Linked DNA regions of Yarrowia lipolytica. The protein of the gene in region 3 binds, or shares a complex with, the protein of the main gene of each other region. Links are inferred from orthologs where the notes say so. Each region holds a gene or a part of one and is shown on either strand. Other genes may lie near its edges. The genes, in order: YALI1_B04470g, YALI1_F04259g, YALI1_D26730g and YALI1_C25758g.

Region 1 (4,850 bases), on a different chromosome or scaffold from region 3:
CCTCGACATTGCACTCATCACCTGTGAGATCTTCCACGAGCTCATCACTCGCACCAACGATTTCGCTGATCCCGATGCCCTCACTAGGTCTCTATGGTCTAACGACGACTTCATCGATTACATCATGGAACTGACCGACAAAATCGTCAGGATTGATCCTACACAGATCCAGTATATTCTCGACATGGGAGACGTTATGTTTGTTGAGGACGATATCACCCCACAGCTACGAACGCACATCTTCCCCAAGTTTCTGGATCTTCTCGCCGACAAGAAATCACCCCTACTTTTGCATGATAGATCAACCATGGCTGATTACTGTCTTACTTGGCTCACCAAGTACGAGTATCGAACCGGAGTGTCTGCTGAACGAGTGGAAGCACTTATCAAATACCTGATGGCCTACGTTGATAAAGATCCCACCAAGGGGGACGAGGAGGAACTGGCTGGATCGATAGCTGGTATCCTCGCATATATTCTCACCAGTCCTTCCGGACGAGCAGCTTTCGCTGAAGTTGAGGGTGTGGATGCCATGGTGAGGCTCATGGGAGGAGAGGGCAAGTGGATCAAGAAGCATGCTGCTCGTATTATCAAGGCTGCTCTGAACTCTTATGATTCCACGGAGTTGGCTACAGTGTTTGTGCAAGCCAAGGGTTTGGGTGTTTTGTTCAAGGCTCTCAAGGCAGGCAAGAACAAGCATTACAAGACCTATAGTGAATATGGGGAGTTTCTGTGGGCCATATATGCTTCTCTGCTGCGTCTTTTGCCTTCGGATTCGCCTGAACGAGTCAGAGTGATAGCCAAGATGGACAAGGCTAAGTTGGATGAGCTTAAGGAGCTCAGAGATGACACACAACAGGCTGTAGATACCATGATTCCCGCACTGGAGAGTGCATTGGCCAATGAGGAGGACACTGAGGAGATCGTGACTGACATGGAGATGCTAGGAAGCAGGCTGGTGGTGGTTCTGGACACGATATTTGCATGGATGAAAGTAGAGGGTCAGGATATTGAGGTGGACAAAGAGGTGCTCAAGCAGGAGAGAGATAACAAGGCTCGGTACCTTGGCTGGGATGATGATAGCAATGAGTATCAGGAGATGATGAAGAACAACAAGGATATAGTTGGCATGTTGGATTATTTGCTTGAGAGCAAGTGAGTGAGTTTAACACACAGTCATAGCATGTACAACTTGGAAATATAGATTAACACGCGTATACTACAAGTATGTACAGTAGTCTTGCCATTGGGGCTGTACTTGTTATCTATTTGTGGTCATAGATTGACTTCTTAGATTGACTTCCGATGTTAGATTGACTTCTGATTCGAGACATGTGGAGGAACTTGGGTGATTTGAGGAACTTGGGTGCTTTCAGTACATGGCCATTACAACACATTTGTTCTATTGCACCTATCTCTTCGTTTCATACTCAATTGCCACTATAATGGCATAGTCCAGCAATTGCTCTCATATTGCCCTCCATGCACGCTCCATGTGTACATACTACACTCCATTTCAGATCATTGTTTACTATATACATTTAGACCTCTCGGGCACGGTTGTACTTGGCGCAGTCACGCAGCCATCGTCGGTAGTCCTTGAGAGAGCCGATCTTCTCGCCGTAGTAGTCGGGCACGGGGTTGGAGACGGACTGGTATCGAGGGTTCACTCGGTTTTTCTGGATGTGCGACAGGAAGTCGGTCTCCTTCATGAGGAAGGCGGGCCACTGCTTGGAGTTGGTGGCCTTGAAGATGAGCTGGCCGATGGTGGGGCCCAGGAGAGAGCCCATAAATCCAGCTGCCACCACACCCAATCCAGCCGCGGTGAAGGCATCCAGACCGAAGAAGACGTCCTGCTGCTCGAGATCCAGCTCGGCCTCGGAAATGAAACCCCATGCAAGAACAGAGGTGGCCACACCGGTGAAAATGGAGGCCACAAAGTTGATCTGTCGTCTTCGGGTTCGCAGAAGCAGGAATCGCTCCCAAGTGAGGGGAACGGGGGCGGTTCCGGCGAATCGCTTGGTCATCTGACCAACTGAGGGTCGCACGAGGGTAGGTCGGGCAAGTGCAACCCGGCTTCTCAGCATCTGAAGGGACATTGTGTGTATGTGTTGTGTAGTAGAGTGGAGTTCTTTTAATACCATGGTTCCACTAACATTGGGTCATTTGCTGTACATGTACTCCGGGTAACCCAGTGCAGGTGGGAGGTACTGGTAAATCTTATTTGAAAAGATTCGATATTTGCATGGGGCGAAATTGATACTGGGTAAAATCAAAGCACACAACTAACGGAATGGTGAGTAGAGACGACATCCAGACGCTGTACAGCTCCATCTAACACAGAACGAGGGAAACACACAGTTCCTATACAAGGCCAAGGCCACCAAGAAGGACAAGGCTGCTGCCAAGCGAGAACGACACCACACAAAGCTGTCCAAGCGAGGAGGCATCAGCAAGGCTGATTTGAAACGAAAGAAGCCCATTCATGATCGACCGTTCGACTACGGAAACCCTCTGAAAAACGAGGCTGCCATGCGACCTGTTTCCCAGGGGGTGACTTCGGTGAACAAGGGCACTCCTTTGCCACCTGCTGACATTGATGCCATCATGGCTGATGGTGCCACGGCTAAGGAAATCAAGCGACAACAGAGACAGGAAGCTCGACGTCAGCGAATTCGAGAGACCGAGACGCTTGCAGCCAACCTCGACGATCTTCTGGACCCTCTCAAGGCCGAGAACGGAGGCCGAACACGAGAAAAGCTGGATCATACCCCTAATCCCCGGAATGCTCGAGGTAACGAGGCCATCATCAAGGCCGAGACCAAGCGGTTCAACAAGATCCTCAACTCCAAGGAGTATCAGGCCAGTCCGTTTGCGTCGCTTCAGGCGTTCCTGAAGACCCAGATTCCCCAGAACGAGCCTGCTCAGCCCAAGGACAAGAAGATGCACATGTAACAGACCAGTGCGGTATGTTGAAAAGACAATGGAAGGGATGTGAACATAAAAGGAGGTACAAGTATAGTTATTGCATTATAATCTTTATGGACCGTGTGGACAAGTGGACAAGTGGACAAGTGGACAAGACGGAGGCGTGATGTTTTTTCTATAGTTCATGGATAGGAGGCCAAGTTGATGCCTCGTACGAAGGCTATCCTGTAGTCTGATGGGTATGACTATAAGGTCAGATGCACCAATACGAGTTAAGATACGAGGCAATGTGTGCAATCTTGCATACAGTGGGGGAGTGTACATACAGTGGGGGTATTTGTTGTTCAATATTCCCAATTTGCTTTCAATTAAACGCTCAACTGTCGCACTATGGAGTTGTGTGCATACTGTATACTTGTCACTGACACTGAAATCCATTCGGTGTGGGCTCTAGACAGCTACTGTAGCTGCAGTACAGATACTGTACTTTTACTTGTACAGCAGAGACACAAGTCTTTCAAACAAGGACCACCCTAAATCGCCACTACAGTAAGGCGAACGACTCTTCAAAAAGATAGATTGCTATCTTATCGAGCCATATTGCAGTTCTTTCCAGCCGTGTGATCGCAGTCACCGTTGGTTTTCATATCAAGTAATATAATAATCCTCCCCAATATGCCATTTCCCTCCTAAACATACCCGTATTGTGGGGCCATGTGCTCCTTTACCGTACATATAGTATGAGTGCGGGGCGAGCGGCTGTTGATGCCCCACTCAACCGGCCTAAGGGAGCATTGAGTATTTGGGACTCAACAGATATGAGGGGATATTGGGGATAGCAATGTTTCATGTGGATGGGGCATGCAATTGCTTCTGTGGATGTGTGTGGTATGTCTGAATGGTGGGCTTGCTGGGCTGAGTAGTTGACATGTCTAAGAAACAGCCATGTTAGTTATCATTCCTAAGTAAAATGAAATAAGGTGTACAGCATCACATAACAAGAAGAACATAACCTGAAATTTCGTGATATCACGATACATCTACATCCGCTACGCTCGCAGACTTTTCCTTCTTTTTCATATGCAATAAAATACAGTCTATCTATCTAGTTGGCGTGGTAAAGAATCTCGGGGAGATCATCAATCTTGAGCTCACCGTGGATAATGCCCCAGGTGGACTCGAACAGAGGGAAGTCCTTCTGCATGTTCTTGTTCTTGAGCAGCTCGTGGACCTCGTTGCATGTGATGACGCCCTGGGCGGACTGGCCGTTGAGAAGCTCCTTCTCCACGTCCTGGATGGTCTTGCCGGAGCCGCTCTCCTTTCCGAATGCTCGGCCGACCTTGAAGTTTCGGCCTCCAGCGCACGAGGTGATGAGATCGGCCACACCGGCAGACTCGACTGTAAGAGTGTTAATATCAGTTTCGGGGAAGAATCGCTTGGAGAAGTTGATCATCTCAAGCATGCCTCGTCGCATAATTGCGGCCTTGGCGTTGTCTCCCCAGTTCTTGCCCTCGACGAAACCGGCGCAAAGGGCAACAACGTTCTTAAGGGCACCTCCGATGGAGACACCGGCGACGTCCTGAACGCATCGCACATGGAAGTAGGGTCGGTGGAACAGAGCCTTGAGCACATCGTTGGTCACATCACCCTCGCCAAAGAAGTCCTTGGGTCGGTTGTAAGCAACGGTAGTCTCGGAGTACTTCTCCAGAGCGATCTCGGTGGCGAGGTTAGCCCCGGACAGAACACCGCAGTGGAGACCGGTCTCGTTCTCGATAACGTCGGAGAGCAGGTAAACACCCTGGGGGGTGACATCTAGACCCTTGAGGCAGGAGATGGCTCTAGCCTTGGGGTTGACGTGGCCCTTGAGCTGCTTGCAGACACCAGCCAGGAACTGATGGGGCAGGTTGAAGACGATGATGTTG
Region 2 (4,409 bases), on a different chromosome or scaffold from region 3:
TCACCATGGACTGGCTCAGTGAAGTGCAAAAGCTCAACGACCAGAACTCGCAGAACGTCACCCGGCTGAACGAAGAGATCGACAAGCTAGATCTGACGCTCAAGAAGGCTCAGATTGTAGTAGGACGAGCTCACACTGTGGCCCCCACCAAGTTTTATCTCCAGCCTCTGCTTGAAGACCCCATCTACGCAGAGATTGCAGAAAAGTGTCAGGAGCTGGCGACTACCGCGTCTCAATGGCAGTTTTACAGATACAACAACATGTACGGCGGCTGTTTCCAGCGGGCTGTGTTTGTGACTCTGCTACGACACTTTCTGGCCAACTGGGTGGACACTGACATGGCTATTGTGGTCTCCAACCCCTCCAATTGGCAGTCACTGGTGGCCGCCACCCCCCTAGGACCTGATCTAGTGTCCAAGCAGCTTGGAGTGCCGTTTTTGACCGAGCTGGAGGCTGGAAATGAAAACACGTGCCATCTGACCGACTACGACTACCTGCTGGGTATCGTGACCATGATCAACGAGCTTTCTCGACTTGCATTCAACTCCGTTACGGCCATTGCCTCGTATAACGAGAGCCACGACACCAAGTTGCCATTTGTGTTCCCTCAGTACCTTCTTGCATTCATTAAGAACACTCATGCTGGCCTCATGGTGCTGAATCTGAAGAATGATAAACTGCGAAGAAGTTATGATTCTATCAAATATGATGTGAAGAAGGTGGAGGAGATTATCTATGATTTGACCGTGAGACGGTTGGTCTAAAGACGGTTTCTCCAGGATGTGATTGCTGAAGAGCGTCTGAAAGAAAGAAGAAAAGATAACACGAGAAAACACCAACGCTACAGCCGTTTTTAGAGAGCTGACTATGAAAGACTGGTAACTAATGACTACCGTGCATATTTCAATCAATAATATCAAGAAAACCTATTGGTCTTTAGTCATACACATCTATCATAATGATAACCAGGTTATGTATATTTCTCGTACAGTGCCATATGCAACTACAGTTCAAGTACACTCATAGTGGCCCCCTTATAAAAGCTAGGAAGCTACAAGTAGTCAGATACTGGGATCTTAAAGGAGCTCTTCGAACTTGGATACTCTCCGCGAAACATCAGTATAAGAGCTCTGACCACTCGTACATGGTAGGAGATCTGTTACCCCCTAACAAGGAAAGCACACAGTAGTATCTGTTTCTAAGTAGAAGCAGCCTCCATAAAGTGTTGAAATTGAAAGGACGGGATCATCCGTATCTTAACCTGCTGCAAGTATCGTACTGTTTCGTCTCTTCTGGCGTACAGTAGCTTCCTTACAGTACAGTATGTAGCACCTGATAGGACAGAACTATCGAGAGAAAATAAGCAGCAACGTGCCACAGAATAATGAGCACACCAGGGGCCTATATACGAGTATAGTCTACTTGTTTTTGTACTCTCCTTCGATCGGCCCTTTCAAATGTATAGCTATGGTATGTGCTGAACTGCATAGACTGCTTGGTTCCCCATTACTGCTCGGTTTCTTCCTATGTCACCACTGCGTAGTTCACCAAAGAGTCCGCTCCTGATTTACTTTCATTCTATCCGGTTACGGTTCCGTATCATCATCTCGTTATGCTATTTACAAAACACTTTTACTCACACCGAGTTTGTGCCGATCTGTCCCTATCTCTCTCATTATTTTTTCTCCTCTTCCTTCTTCTTGGGTTCCTCGATCTCGGGCTTGGGCAGCGGGTCCAGCTCCAGCTCGCCCCGGATTCGCTCCATGGCTCGGTACACCTTGGATTGCAGGTAGAAGGAGCCCGACTTGTGCTCCGAGTTGACAGTGTACAGATGAGTGAACTTCTTGTCGATTTGAGCCAGCACTGACTCGGACTCTGCAATGTCCTCCAGCTTGTGTTTCTTGTTGAGCTCGGCAACCACCTTGTCGAGGGCGGTCTCGTCCACGTCGAGAATCTTACAGGCCTCGTCCAGCTGGAGTCCTCCAAACTTGGATGCTGCCGACTTGGAGGTCTTGGAGGCGGCCTGGGCGGTAGCAGCCTGCTTGTAGGCCTGGGTGAAAGCCTTGGCGAAAACCTGGGTGCCGGTCACGACAACTTGATAGATGAGTCTGTGGGCCATGGTGAAATGTGTGTGGTGGTTCTTAGCGGTGTGGAGAAAAGATTTCAGGTTTTTGCCAGAGTTTATTGTTTTGGGAGGTTCGAGGTTGGGAACTCTAAAAGTAAGTCGCAAGACTTGTAGTCGTGCGGATGGACTAGATGAAGGAGTTTCGGTATGAAAATGTGATGGGATTTTTCGCGTTAATCAACTCTTTACACTCTTATTTTTTCCACTTTACGACTTTACTTTACCACCCCAATCGGTCTTTTAATCCTACCCCTTGTCTTAGCTTGTCATACACTCTGCTGCACATGCACTCAGCCTAAACCTCCAAACTTCATCACCACCAGACACACACTCATCCAAGGTGAACAAACAACGAGCATCCCGCAAACAGTACAACACATATACGATATTAAACGACACAGTTCGAATCTACAACAATACCCATCCGTTTGTCGCTGACTAATCACTCCCCTCCACTATGAAATACGCTGTGGACGCGGGTATCATCAAATGCATATGCGGGTTTGACGAGGACGACGGTTTCACCATCCAGTGCGAATCCTGTAACGTGTGGCAACACGCCGTGTGTGTGGGAATCGGCTCCGAGGCGGAGGTTCCAGACGTGTATCTCTGTGACCAGTGTGGACCTCGAGAACTGGATGTCAAAGCTGCCCATGAGAAACAAAAGACTCGCCTGGAGACTATCAAACAGATGCAGGAAAAGAAACGAAGGAAAGAATCGGAAGAGAAGGAGGGCCAGTCAAATGGTGACGCGTCTGCAACTACCCAGGCCACGCAGACTCCTCCAGTGGCCCCCTCTAGAGAATCAACGGAACAGCCCAACAATGAGGAAAACGACTACCATTTCGATTACACTGTGATCCCCAGAAATACCGTGGACCCGGAAGTCAAGGATTATCTTGCCAAGTTGGCCAATGAGGAAATTATTGACAAGGACATCAGTTACATGTCTCTATCGGAGTATTCAAAGATTGTCAAGCCTAAGATGACCTTAAAGCTGTTCCAAGACAATCCAAAGTCCAAGTTCTGTGGCTTTTCTAAGCATGGACTTGTGGCCAATCAGCCTATTCAGAAAGACCGCTTCATCATCGAGTACGTGGGTCATGTTTCACATAAGGACCAGTACAAGGCAGACCCAATCAACCAGTATCGCATCCATCCAGTGCCCAAATCGTCAGTCTTGTTCCATCCAACGCTTCCTCTAGTGATAGATGGTCGTCTTGTAGGCAATGATGCGCGGTTCATGCGCCGTTCGTGCAATCCAAACTGCAGAGTGGCGACTGTCGTGGTTAACAACACCGATATCATTTTTGTCGTGTTTGCAACTGAACCAATCAAGCCAGGTACGGAGTTGACACTCGCATGGGAATGGGACACTCATCACCCCGTGCAAAAGATGCTTCATGGCACTGAAATCGACCAGCTCACCCCCCAAGAGAAACTGTGCCTGGGCAACATGGTAGAGACAATTCTGCAACGAACAGAGTGCTCCGACCCCACAAATTCTCAGTGCATTTTGCAGAAAATGAAGAAATGCGTGTCTGCAAACCCCCGATCTGTGCGAGGCTCGAAAACAAGAGCTCTTAACCTTCTTAAAGAGACGAATGGCGAGGGAGGCTCTTCGTACGAAGATTCGGGCAAGTCGTCATCAGCATCACCCAACCCGGAGCTCCTTCCTGGCTCTCAGGAGCTCAGTGTGGGTTTTGGAATTGGCTCGTCGTACAAAGGTTATGGAGGTTACGGAGGCATTCAGTTCCCGTCTCCTGTGCCTCCCACTTGCATGGACTATCTCGATAAGTTGGACGACGAGCATCGCACCATTGCTCTGGATTACATTGAGGCGTTTGCATACGTGGACCCGCCTTACTACGAAAGAGTACAGGAGCCGGTGTCTGTGCCCAGAACTCCCAAGTCACCGTTCCTTTCGCCATCACTGAAACGAAAAGAAGCTCCTGAGCGAGATGATCAGATCTCTAAAGAGACCCAGACCGTACCCATTGACAAACGACTACGATCTGGAGAGTCATCATCCATCAAACTCGAGTTTCAAGATGAACGAAGCGCCGCTACTTCAGAAGAGGATCCCATCCAGCCAAGAACCATCCCGTTTAAAACCAACCTTTACCGAATGTATCAAGTTCGATCTGCTTGCCCAGAGCCTGCTCCGCCCTCGCCGGTCGTTACAACGTCTTTCAAACGTCTCACTATGAAGGAATACTTTGATCATCCTACAGGCACTCCCTCAAAAGAAATCAAGCCAAAGGTGGAAGAGAAGGGCTCTGAA
Region 3 (5,274 bases):
CACAAAGTAGGTGGAGAAGACGTATGTGTTGGAGTAAGTCAATGGCCTGTAGAAAATCTCTTCGGGCATTCGGCCGGCCTTGTCAGTAGCCAGCTGCAAAGCCTCCTTGTAGAGTCTGTGGGCAGTTTTGGTATCACCCTCTTCTGGCAACTTGTCGTGCTCAATCTGAAGAAAGAGCGAAATGAGCGTATCGTTGAGATACTCGCACTCGCGCAACTGCTCCACATCCTTGGCTGTGATCTCCATCTGCTTCCCGCTCTTGGTCTGGTAATGATGCGTGTCACCAAAGTCGGGAAAGGCAACAGATGGGGTTTTGGTAGCTGCCAATCGGGTGGAGCGACGCAGAGGGAAAGCCACATCGAGCCCGTCGCCCTTCTTGTCCGCCTTGTCCTCCTCCATATCCTCCTCCATATCCTCCTTCTTCTTCTCCAATACGGCCTTGACCTCCTCCAGACGCTTTTCAAACAACTTGCGGTCTCCTCCTAAAGATATAAGCTGTTCCGCAGCAATCTTGTCGTCCAATGTTTTATGGAAACACGGCAAGAGATTCAAAAATCGCTCCACCTGCTCGTTGAGAACCAGAGGATCCAGCTTGATAGCCAAAGTCTCGAAAAACGAACCGTCACTGAGAATGTTTCCTGCCGAGAGACCCTCAAAAATCAACACCTGAAAAGACTCATTGTACTTGACGGGTTGAATGTCGTCGAGATGAATGGTGATAGCTTTGTCTGTCATAATAGGACACGGCCTGATGCTCACCTTCATAGCCTTTTTGAGGTAATAGGTGACATCCATAACTAGTCGATTCTCGTCCTCCCCACCAGTAGAGATCCCTTCTGCCTCCATCCTCAAATCCGTGTACTCCTGATTCCACGTATGTCCGTCCAAGTAGACTTCCAGCACCTGAAACGAGGCAGGTGGGGGTTTCGTCTCCTCCTTCGGTCTTTGAGCCAAGAAGTCTCCAAGAGGAGCAGGTTTAAGCAAGGTGTAGTCTCTTCTCTTACCCTTTTTCTTCTTTTCGCTCATATGCTTCCTGTCCTTCTCTAGAGCCTTTTCTTGTTTGGTCTTCATGGGCCGATCATCGTCATCTGAGGAAGATGATACAGAATGGGTGTCTAAGTTGGAAAGCGAGTGGTCATTGGGTTTGTGTTTCGATGCCGGTTGTGGCGATGGCGGAACATGTTCGCTAGTCTTCTTCTCGGGAACGTCGGGGTTGGTCTTATTATTCGGGAACAGATCCTCGTCGTCGGTGGTATCGTTCAATTCTTTGATGGTAGGCTTGGATACACTGCCTTTAACAAACTTCTTCAACAACGGATGCGAGAGACGAGAAGAGGTTAAATCTGAAGGGATTCCGATCGACGGAGTCTTCTTGAGAGTCGAATACGGCCGCGCCACGATACGCTTCGAGTCTCCTCCGATCTCCACCACTCCCGGCTGCTCGGGGTTGGTTTTGTGGCGCTTACTGACGGCCGAAAGATACTTGTTATTGCTCACGAACCCCTTGACCTTGGGGCGATTGCGAATATCGTTGTGAGGCGGTCGTTCGTTTTCTGGGGACGCTCTCTTGCGTTGGCCATAGGTGTGTTGGAGGCCTGACCTGGAGCTCCCGCTTTGAACCGGTCTCTGGGCGATGGAAAAGCGCTCGTGTAAAGACGCGAGCGACGACGGACGGGTGTTTGGCGCTCGGATTTGCACCGAAGCAGGCACCTGTTGTTGCTGGTGTAGTGATGGAGACGGGCTGTCTCTCCTGGCGTTTGCCGGAGTGCCTGTCAGAATGGCGTTGATTTGGTTGATATGACGATTAGCACCTTGGCGGCCACCGCTGGACTCCATTTGCAAAGCTGGATATCGGCCTAGAGCTCCTGACTATGCCGTTGTTTGGGTCTATGGTGGTCCGCTTAAAAAAAATATGCATGCACATGTCGCGATGGGTCGGGGATTATGTAAGCGCAGGGAAATGAAGGGCACCAGTGAGGTGTGGCAGAGGGGGAAACAGGCAGGTGGGCGATGAGAGGAATGCGATAGAGAGAACAGATGGTTGGAATCCGAGTCTTGTGATTCCAGTGGCAAAAAAACGCATCTCTCCATAGCTCAGTGTGATTACTTGGGCCTTTCAAGTAAAGTTGTGTTTTTTCCAAGTAAATACTCTTTCTTTCAAGTAAACCGTCACAACCTTACGATGCAGTGTATGATGCCGCCGGCAAAGTGGTTACAATCCAATCGACGCAAGAACGGACCAATTTTTTGTTGTAATGGACAGAAAACGTGACACAACCGGTTCTTTTTTATTATATTTTTTATTCTATTTATTCTAGAGAAAAAAAACCACCCAGGAAAAAACTTGTCTGTTCTCCGCTGAGATTGACGTGCGGCTCATCAATTATAAGGATGTTGGTTCGATTTGCGAGAAGCTCACTTTTATGCACATACTCAGATTTACTCATGTGTATTTTTGGGTCTGAAAGTGTCGGAAATGCCCCCCAGAGCAACACAGACTCTCATACTTGTGTCCACTGTCCGGGATCTGGCCCCAAAACACACCCATTCGCTTGCCCTCACCCCTCTCAACGTCGGTTGCTTAACCCCAGACAAACCTTGGTTGAGCGTCGGTGAGTCAGCGGAGGTTTGGGAGGGTGGCTCTGGACGACGAGTTGGGGTCCGAAACGGATTTTCGGACATGTAGAGATGTAGAGAAAGATGCAGCGAGTCGAACTATGTTTTCAGATCCGCTCCATCTCCACTCCATCGGCCGCTGCAAGACCCTTTTGGCCCGTGGGTATAAACTTCTGGAAGGTCCCAAACACCCATTCTTGCAAAGTGAAATTTCGGTGCATTTTTTTACCTCTACAACTACAACTATCTACCACCACTCCACCATGCTACGAGCTCGACAGTGTCTTCAGGTGGCCAAGCCGGCTTCCACTCGATGGTTTTCGGCGTCCAGTGCGCTGGGCAAAAAAGACCAGACCCCCATGCAGGTCTTCATGGACACGTTCAAGAAGGAGTGGGGCAAGTCCAAGGAGCTCCAGGACAACATCAAGGCGCTGAACGACGAGACTGGCCGAATGGCCGAGAGTGAGACCTTCAAGCGGGCCAAGGCCGCGTATGCCAATGCGCAGAAGGGTTCATCTGCCACGTCCAAGCAGCTCAAGAAGGCCGCCGGAGCGGTTGGATCTGCTGCTGGAGCGGCGTGGAACTCGCCCGTTGGCCAGGCCACCCGAAAGGGAATCAACGTCACCGCCGACACGCTGGACAAGGCTGCCGAGCCCATTCGAAAGACTAAGGCGTACAAGGACATCAAGGACGTGATTGACGACGGATCGTCGATCCGATATGGAGGTTTCGAGGACAAGGGCAGCCGACGATCTCGACGTATGGCCGAGCAGCAGGCCCGAATCGAGGAGGAGCTGCGAACCGGCGTCAAGACCGGCCCCGTCATGCCCAACGAGGAGGCTGGCAGTGATCTGGTGGTCCATGCCACCGCCCGGGCCTCCAACCGGCGAATGCCCAAGTTTGACGAAAACTCCGTCATTGGCAAGACCGGAAAGGGCGTGGCCTCGTGGTGGGAGGAGTCCGACAACGGATTCATCGCCACCCTGCGAGCCGTGACTTCCAAGGTGGGCCGACTGTTTGACGAGACCGAGGCTGGCAAGGTGATCCGAATGTTCAAGCTCATGGACCCGTCGTTTAACCAGGACCAGTTCATGAAGACTACCCGAGAGTACATCATTCCCGAAGTGCTGGAGGCGTGGGTTACCGGCGACGGCGAGACCCTCAAAATGTGGCTCAGTGAGGCCCCCTACAACATTTGGGCCACCCAGACCAAGCAGTACACCGAGCAGGGTCTTTTCGCTGACGGCAAGATTCTTGACATTCGAGGAGTCGATATCATGTCCGCCAAGGTGCTGCCACCGTCCGACGTGCCTGTCTACGTCATCTCCTGCCGAGCTCAGGAGGTGCATCTGTACCGAAAGGCCAAGACCGGCGAGCTGGCTGCTGGAACCGAAGACAACATCCAGCAGTCCACCTACGTCATGGTGCTGACCCGAGTGCCTGAGGACATGGGCAATCCCGAGACGGGCGGATGGAAGATTTTGGAAATGGTCCGGGGAGCCTCTCGATCGTGGACTTAGAGTGTATATATGTAAATAGCGCGAGGAGGTGGCCGAGGCCCCTCATGAATGTATGTTATGATTTGAGTGTCCCCAGAGCTGGCGATGAAGTAATACATGATGCAAGGGAGCCAGTCAGCCGGAGAAGTGTTAACCTGAAGACATGTGCTACTTACACTACTCACTCAACCATGAACCAAGATAATGACAAGTGCTAGCGAGTGATAATGGCAAGTGCAATCGTAGGCTTCAGAACATCCAGTAACTGGGTTTATAGATACAAAAGAGAAACTGGTCAATACATAGACGGTTAGGACTTGTAGGTCAGTCATGGACATGTATGATGATAGTTATGGGCGTAGAGCAGTTGCCTGTAGGCAGACTGGCTTGTCCAATCGTTTAAGGGCTTTTTACTATATCTGTTACTTGAGACTGTGGAATGTGATATGTTGTTGTTGTTGTTTTGTTGTTGTTGTTGTTTGTTGTTTGTTGTTGTTGTTTTTTTGTTGTTGTTGTTAGATGTGGTATGATACTAATGTCCACACTGGTAGACAGGAGAATCAGCTCGTCGGGGACTATCCAACGGTGTTACAATCGAGACTCTCGATTCTTTCCGTAAGAACCAATTGCAGACGTCCGTCAAGTGACATTGAATTCTCGGTCCACATGCTTTCGTGAAGAGCGACAACCGAAAGTGAATCTCAGCAAAACTATCTTAAGAGGACAACCTCTCGATCTGTTCGTGACGTTGCTTTTGGATCCTGATGTCGTCATCGAGGGAGGAGTACTCAGACCGCCGTATTGCTCAGTAGTAGTCACTAGCTTTGTCAACACTCGCTAAATCAACTTTTGATCTTCTTCTTCTTCCGCTTGAACATGCTTCCTTTGCTCTCTCCTTCCTCCTTTTTAACGTCAGTGTCCTCCGTCTTCATTTCAACCTCCTCCTTTTTAACGCCATCTTCCTGCTTCAAGTCCACCTTGATACCTTTCCTATCGCTATCGCTACCCAGCTTGCGTTTTCTGTTGAGCACAAGATCATCGTCCTCCAACTGCTTCTCCTGGATCTTCCATCTTGTTGACTCCTCATCGTTCACCTTCTGAGCTCGCTTAGAAGCACTCAAAACGTACTCTGAAACCCCCTCGGAACCATCAACAACAG
Region 4 (4,653 bases), on a different chromosome or scaffold from region 3:
ATGTCTGATACCGAAACCGAGCTTGTCGCTGCCCATCTCAAGAAGTCCATTGAGCTGCTTGTTGGAGATATTTTCGAGCGTGCCAAGGTAGCTGCTAAGGTTGCTGGGTCTACTGATCCCGATCTCGAGAAGCCCCTCAAGGTTCGATGGGTCGAGACTACTTTCCCCTGGACCACTCCTTCATGGGAGATTGAGGTGTGGTGGAAGGGTGACTGGCTCGAGTGCTGCGGATGTGGTCTTGTTCGTGATCACGTGTACTCGGCCTCAGGTCTTGACAAGCACACCCATTTCGGCTGGGCCTTTGGTCTTGGTCTGGAGCGCCTGGCCATGATTCTGTTCGGTATCCCCGATATTCGACTCTTCTGGTCTCTTGACCAGCGATTCCTGTCGCAGTTCAAGCCTAACGAGATCACCGCTTTCAAATCCTGGTCCAAGTACCCCGGCACCGACCGAGATGTGGCCTTCTGGCTGCCCGAGGGCGCTGCTCTGGACTCCATCCACGAGAACGACATCATGGAGCTAATCCGAGCCACCGCCGGCGATCTGGTCGAGAACGTGGCTCTCACCGATACCTTCACCAACCCCAAGACCGGTCTGACCTCGCAGTGCTACCGAATCAATTTCCAGTCCATGGAGCGAAATCTCGAGAACCAGGAAATCAACCAGATGCTCGACGCTTTCAAGGAGATGCTTGTTGACCGATACGGCGTTAAGCTGAGATAGTACGATAGTGTGCCGAACAGTGTCACGCACAAGTACAAGTACAAGTACAAGTGCTTGTAAATGTATATGTAAATAGTAAACGATCCATGTTTTATCACGTTTTGCGAGCATGTATGAACAATTGATGTTGAATAAGGCCATTGAGTCCTTAGAATCTGAATCTTTAGTACAACTCATCATCCGATCACCTTTTTGGGTATTGATTTTATCTACAGGTGACATTTTCTGAAACATTACTCATTACTATATACATATTGGATAATTTGTGGTGGAATTACTCGCCCTTAACAACTCCGACCTTGGCGGCTCGCAGAATTCGGTCGTTAAGAGTGAAGCCGGTCTGCTGGACAAAGAAGACGGTGCCGGCCTCCTTGTCGGGCTGGGGGGCCTCGAAGACGGCCTCATGCATGTTGGGGTCGAAGACCTCGCCGACGGGCTCGAGCTTCTTCATGCCGTGCTTACCCAGAGTCTTCTCGAAGATATCCTGGGTCATCTTGATGCCGTCGTAGAAGTTCATGATCTCCTTGTTGTTCTCTCGGTCGTTCTTGATCTCGTCGGGGACAACGCCCAGGGCTCGATCAAAGTTGTCGACCGAGTCCAGCAGGTCTTTGGCGAACTTGGCCAGGGCAAAGTCGTGTGCCTTCTTGATTTCTCGCTTGGTGGTCTCCTGCAGGTGTCGGAAGTCGGTGATGGCTCGCTGGTAGTGCTCCTTGAACTGGGCGCACTCCTTGTCCTTCTTCTCGAACTTGGCCAGCAGAGCCTCGTACTCCTCGGCGGTGGGGGCGGTCTTGGTCTCGGCAGCGGACGCACCAGAAGCGGAGGCGTCGGCGGCGTTGGCCGCGGGACCAGCAGCCTCAGCAGCGGCCTCAGGGTCCTCAGCCTTGGTTTCAGCCTTGTCGGAGTAAAATCGGGATCGGAGGTTGAAGGAGGCCATGGGGGCCACGGTGGCGGGTCGCATGGCGGATCGGACGGTGGATCGGACGGCGGCCGACCGCTGGACACGGGCAATTCGAGAGATCATTTTGTGTGTGTATTTCGGGCGGTGTTTGGGGGAGGATGAAGAGGTGTTGTTAGTCTCGAAGAATGGAAAATTCAATTCCCCAAAATTAACTTTGAACCCACAGTTGCCCTTGAAGTGGAAGCTTAGCGAAGGTTGGAGTAGGAGTTGGGAGAATCCATCTGACAGCGGTTGGCTCAAGGTCAGGCGTCATAAGTTAAGCAAGGCGTGCGAACCAGCAACAATGGGTTGCCCTGTCTCAGGCATATGTCTTAGGCCGCGAAAGCACGTGAATTGACTACTACCGAGACCCATGACCAATTTCTCCTTCATTTCCCCCCCCCCCTCACTTAGACTTGCACCGCAGACCACGTGACCAACCCGGAGAAAGGGGCGGAACAATTGCCACCGCTGGGGAAAGGCGTCACATTCGTGTGGCCTGAATCGATGGGTTAGTCAGCGTGCGAGTGACTAATGCCCGCAATTGTCTCTGTCTGGATCCAAAATATGCAAAATATGCGACTATATCGTCCATAGCCGCCCTCTACACCACATGCTCCAGATGAGATGGTGATGAGATCATGCATGGTCATGCCAAAAGCTGTAAAACAGAGTGCGGCTAGACACGCGAAATCTTCCGCGGGGGTGGTGGGAAAAAGTTGTGAAACCACGCTATGTTTGGCGTTGCAATCGGCGACTGTTTGATTGGTTGGATTTTTGAGCTTTGCGTATTTGTCGTTGGATGGCGATGTGTAGTCTAGTGGTGTTGATGATAAGTGTGTTAGTTGAGACTCACGTACCATCTCGCCAATTATGATTGTGAGGTTCATAGTTGCCGCCATTGCCGTAATTGAAGTGTACCGTCATAGCTCTGGTCAGTCCCTGAGATAGACAAGGACGGAACTTCAATTGCAACACTCGAAGCTATCTGAAAAAGAGTGTTATCATCGCATCATACTGATCAGTGAATAACCTGTTGTCTGGGTGAAAGAAGGATGTACCCACCCTGCTCCACAACCGCACAAGCGAAAACATGACAACGATGTGCATCGCGGGGACAGGATCAATGACAATCAACAGATCAGCATTGTGTCCGACCAAGACCCACTGTTTCAGAACAGTTGGTTCCAGAAATGGCCGAGAGTGTCATTTCGAATAGCAAATGTGGGCCATCCCGAAGCTGACGGAGCGGCAGAACGTCACATCAAGGCTGTGAAAGAACGACTCAAACCATTCTCTCAGGAAAGGTCTCTCACAGGGAAGACTATCTACTTCAAGGGGTTGTGGTAGCAAAGTCATGTCTCGCTAGTCTGCAACTGGTACATAGTCTTCCGGCACTGCATGGCTCTTCGCGGCCAATCCCGATCCTGGCCAGATATCGAATACAGGAAAAGGAATGCACGGAGATTTGGGGTAGCTATCTTCCCCGCAAAAATGGAGCGATCGGAAGATAGTACATACTTGTACTTATGATACAAGTGCGAGTACGGTACCCGTATTGACGAGAGCGAGTACTACGAGAGCGAGTACTGACGAGTACCGATGTTTCAGCACAGACTAATGTTTGCGGTGACACAAGCACTGATAAGACAGATGACATTTGCAGAGAGGGATTCACTGGTAGTTAACTCATCAGGGCACTGTTTCCCTCCACAGTGAACAGTCTCCTCAGATCAAGTTGAAAAGTGGACATGCCAATTGCCCTGTCCGAACGAGATAGAATAAAACACATGCATCTGGAGCGTCGAAAGGCATCTTCCGGATACACACGGATCTTTTGCACTGATATCAGACCCTGTTATCTGGCCCAAAACCGACAAACCCTTCTCCAGTATTCCTCATTGGATTTTCCAGCCGCATGAAAACATGATATTTTGTCCGACCCAAATGCGAGCCGCATCTCGGAGACGATGTATCCGGGAAAGGATAAAGAATTTCAGGGTGAATAATTGTTGGATTTGCATTGTTGATGGCTTATCTTGTTCTCTCGATCGTGGGGAGTGTAATGATATAATTTTTATGGAGATCGATCAACAGCATCCATCTCAAATACTGTCCGATGTTTGGAAAAAAATTCACCGCCCACTTCAGTGCACTGCAACCCCTCCACCTAAGAGCTAGACGTCTACGGTTACATATCGCCCCAGTATGGCACAAGAGATATCGAATTGAATCGAATAGCTTGGAGTGTGTGTGATTAGAGGATTTGTATCTGACCACAAAAACATACAACTACAACAGATAGTCGTTCTGGTTGTCTGTAGTTGCACGTTCTTCAGCTCGAGATCCAGCTCCAATGAAATGTCACTGCTCCAGGTGTCATTTACAGTATGCTGATCATCTGTCAGCCCTATGCACTCATACAACTACTAACAGTCATGTTCAGGTCATATCAATTAAATAAAATAAACTAAGGGAAGTTCTCAGGCGAAGGACCAAAGGTCTCTCCAGCGGCCAGGGGTTTCAGAATGGCACCCTTAAAGTCCAGGTTGTCGTAAGACACAGTGTTTCCCCACCACTCGAGCTCCACTCCCTTGTATTGGACTGCAAAGAAGATGATGATGGCCGAGAATGCAATTCCGGTGATGAGACCAGCATCAAGAACGTAGGTGTACTTACGCCACCAGGCAGAATATCGTCGCTTGATCCAGGAAAAGAGCAAGGAGACGTACAGACCGCCAGTAGCATAGGACAGGTTGTAAGGAGCAAAGTTGAGAACACCGCCAACAAAGATGACGGGGTTGAACAATTTCAGGGTAGACTGCAAAGACAGAATTCGCTCTCGGTGCTGGGGGAACTTCTTGGCCAGAAAAGTGGGCAGAGGGTACTGCACGGCCCAGAAGATGAGACCAACGACGGCACCAAGCAGAAACATGTACTTCATGGCAGGGTAGATCTGGAACATCTTGGCTGGACCGAGAGCTCCCCAGATG

What was found.
Region 1: YALI1_D26730g (region 3) and YALI1_B04470g share a complex: the UniProt entries of both Saccharomyces cerevisiae proteins name them as parts of the PAM complex. The link is inferred for Yarrowia lipolytica from reciprocal best matches to the Saccharomyces cerevisiae genes TIM44 and PAM17.
Region 2: YALI1_D26730g (region 3) and YALI1_F04259g share a complex: the UniProt entries of both Saccharomyces cerevisiae proteins name them as parts of the PAM complex. The link is inferred for Yarrowia lipolytica from reciprocal best matches to the Saccharomyces cerevisiae genes TIM44 and PAM16.
Region 4: YALI1_D26730g (region 3) and YALI1_C25758g share a complex: the UniProt entries of both Saccharomyces cerevisiae proteins name them as parts of the PAM complex. The link is inferred for Yarrowia lipolytica from reciprocal best matches to the Saccharomyces cerevisiae genes TIM44 and MGE1.

The regions. Positions count from the first base shown.
Region 1 is NC_090771.1:444,353-449,202, reverse strand, and holds YALI1_B04470g (uncharacterized protein), read right to left. Parts: upstream 2,145-4,850; coding exon 1,542-2,144; downstream 1-1,541. Other genes in the region: YALI1_B04497g (uncharacterized protein), read left to right, coding at 1-1,159; YALI1_B04466g (uncharacterized protein), read left to right, coding at 2,533-2,955; YALI1_B04433g (uncharacterized protein), read right to left, coding at 4,034-4,850. UniProt on the Saccharomyces cerevisiae protein: Component of the PAM complex, a complex required for the translocation of transit peptide-containing proteins from the inner membrane into the mitochondrial matrix in an ATP-dependent manner.
Region 2 is NC_090775.1:423,841-428,249, forward strand, and holds YALI1_F04259g (uncharacterized protein), read right to left. Parts: upstream 2,120-4,409; coding exon 1,676-2,119; downstream 1-1,675. Other genes in the region: YALI1_F04238g (uncharacterized protein), read left to right, coding at 6-764; YALI1_F04264g (uncharacterized protein), read left to right, coding at 2,583-4,409. UniProt on the Saccharomyces cerevisiae protein: Essential component of the PAM complex, a complex required for the translocation of transit peptide-containing proteins from the inner membrane into the mitochondrial matrix in an ATP-dependent manner.
Region 3 is NC_090773.1:2,670,260-2,675,533, forward strand, and holds YALI1_D26730g (uncharacterized protein), read left to right. Parts: upstream 1-2,717; coding exon 2,718-4,136; downstream 4,137-5,274. Other genes in the region: YALI1_D26721g (uncharacterized protein), read right to left, coding at 1-1,836; YALI1_D26749g (uncharacterized protein), read left to right, coding at 4,635-4,789, 4,836-4,956; YALI1_D26759g (uncharacterized protein), read right to left, coding at 4,958-5,274. UniProt on the Saccharomyces cerevisiae protein: Essential component of the PAM complex, a complex required for the translocation of transit peptide-containing proteins from the inner membrane into the mitochondrial matrix in an ATP-dependent manner.
Region 4 is NC_090772.1:2,572,974-2,577,626, reverse strand, and holds YALI1_C25758g (uncharacterized protein), read right to left. Parts: upstream 1,745-4,653; coding exon 998-1,744; downstream 1-997. Other genes in the region: YALI1_C25782g (uncharacterized protein), read left to right, coding at 1-723; YALI1_C25747g (uncharacterized protein), read left to right, coding at 2,754-2,863, 2,910-3,174; YALI1_C25742g (uncharacterized protein), read left to right, coding at 3,263-3,362, 3,407-3,582; YALI1_C25703g (uncharacterized protein), read right to left, coding at 4,131-4,653. UniProt on the Saccharomyces cerevisiae protein: Essential component of the PAM complex, a complex required for the translocation of transit peptide-containing proteins from the inner membrane into the mitochondrial matrix in an ATP-dependent manner.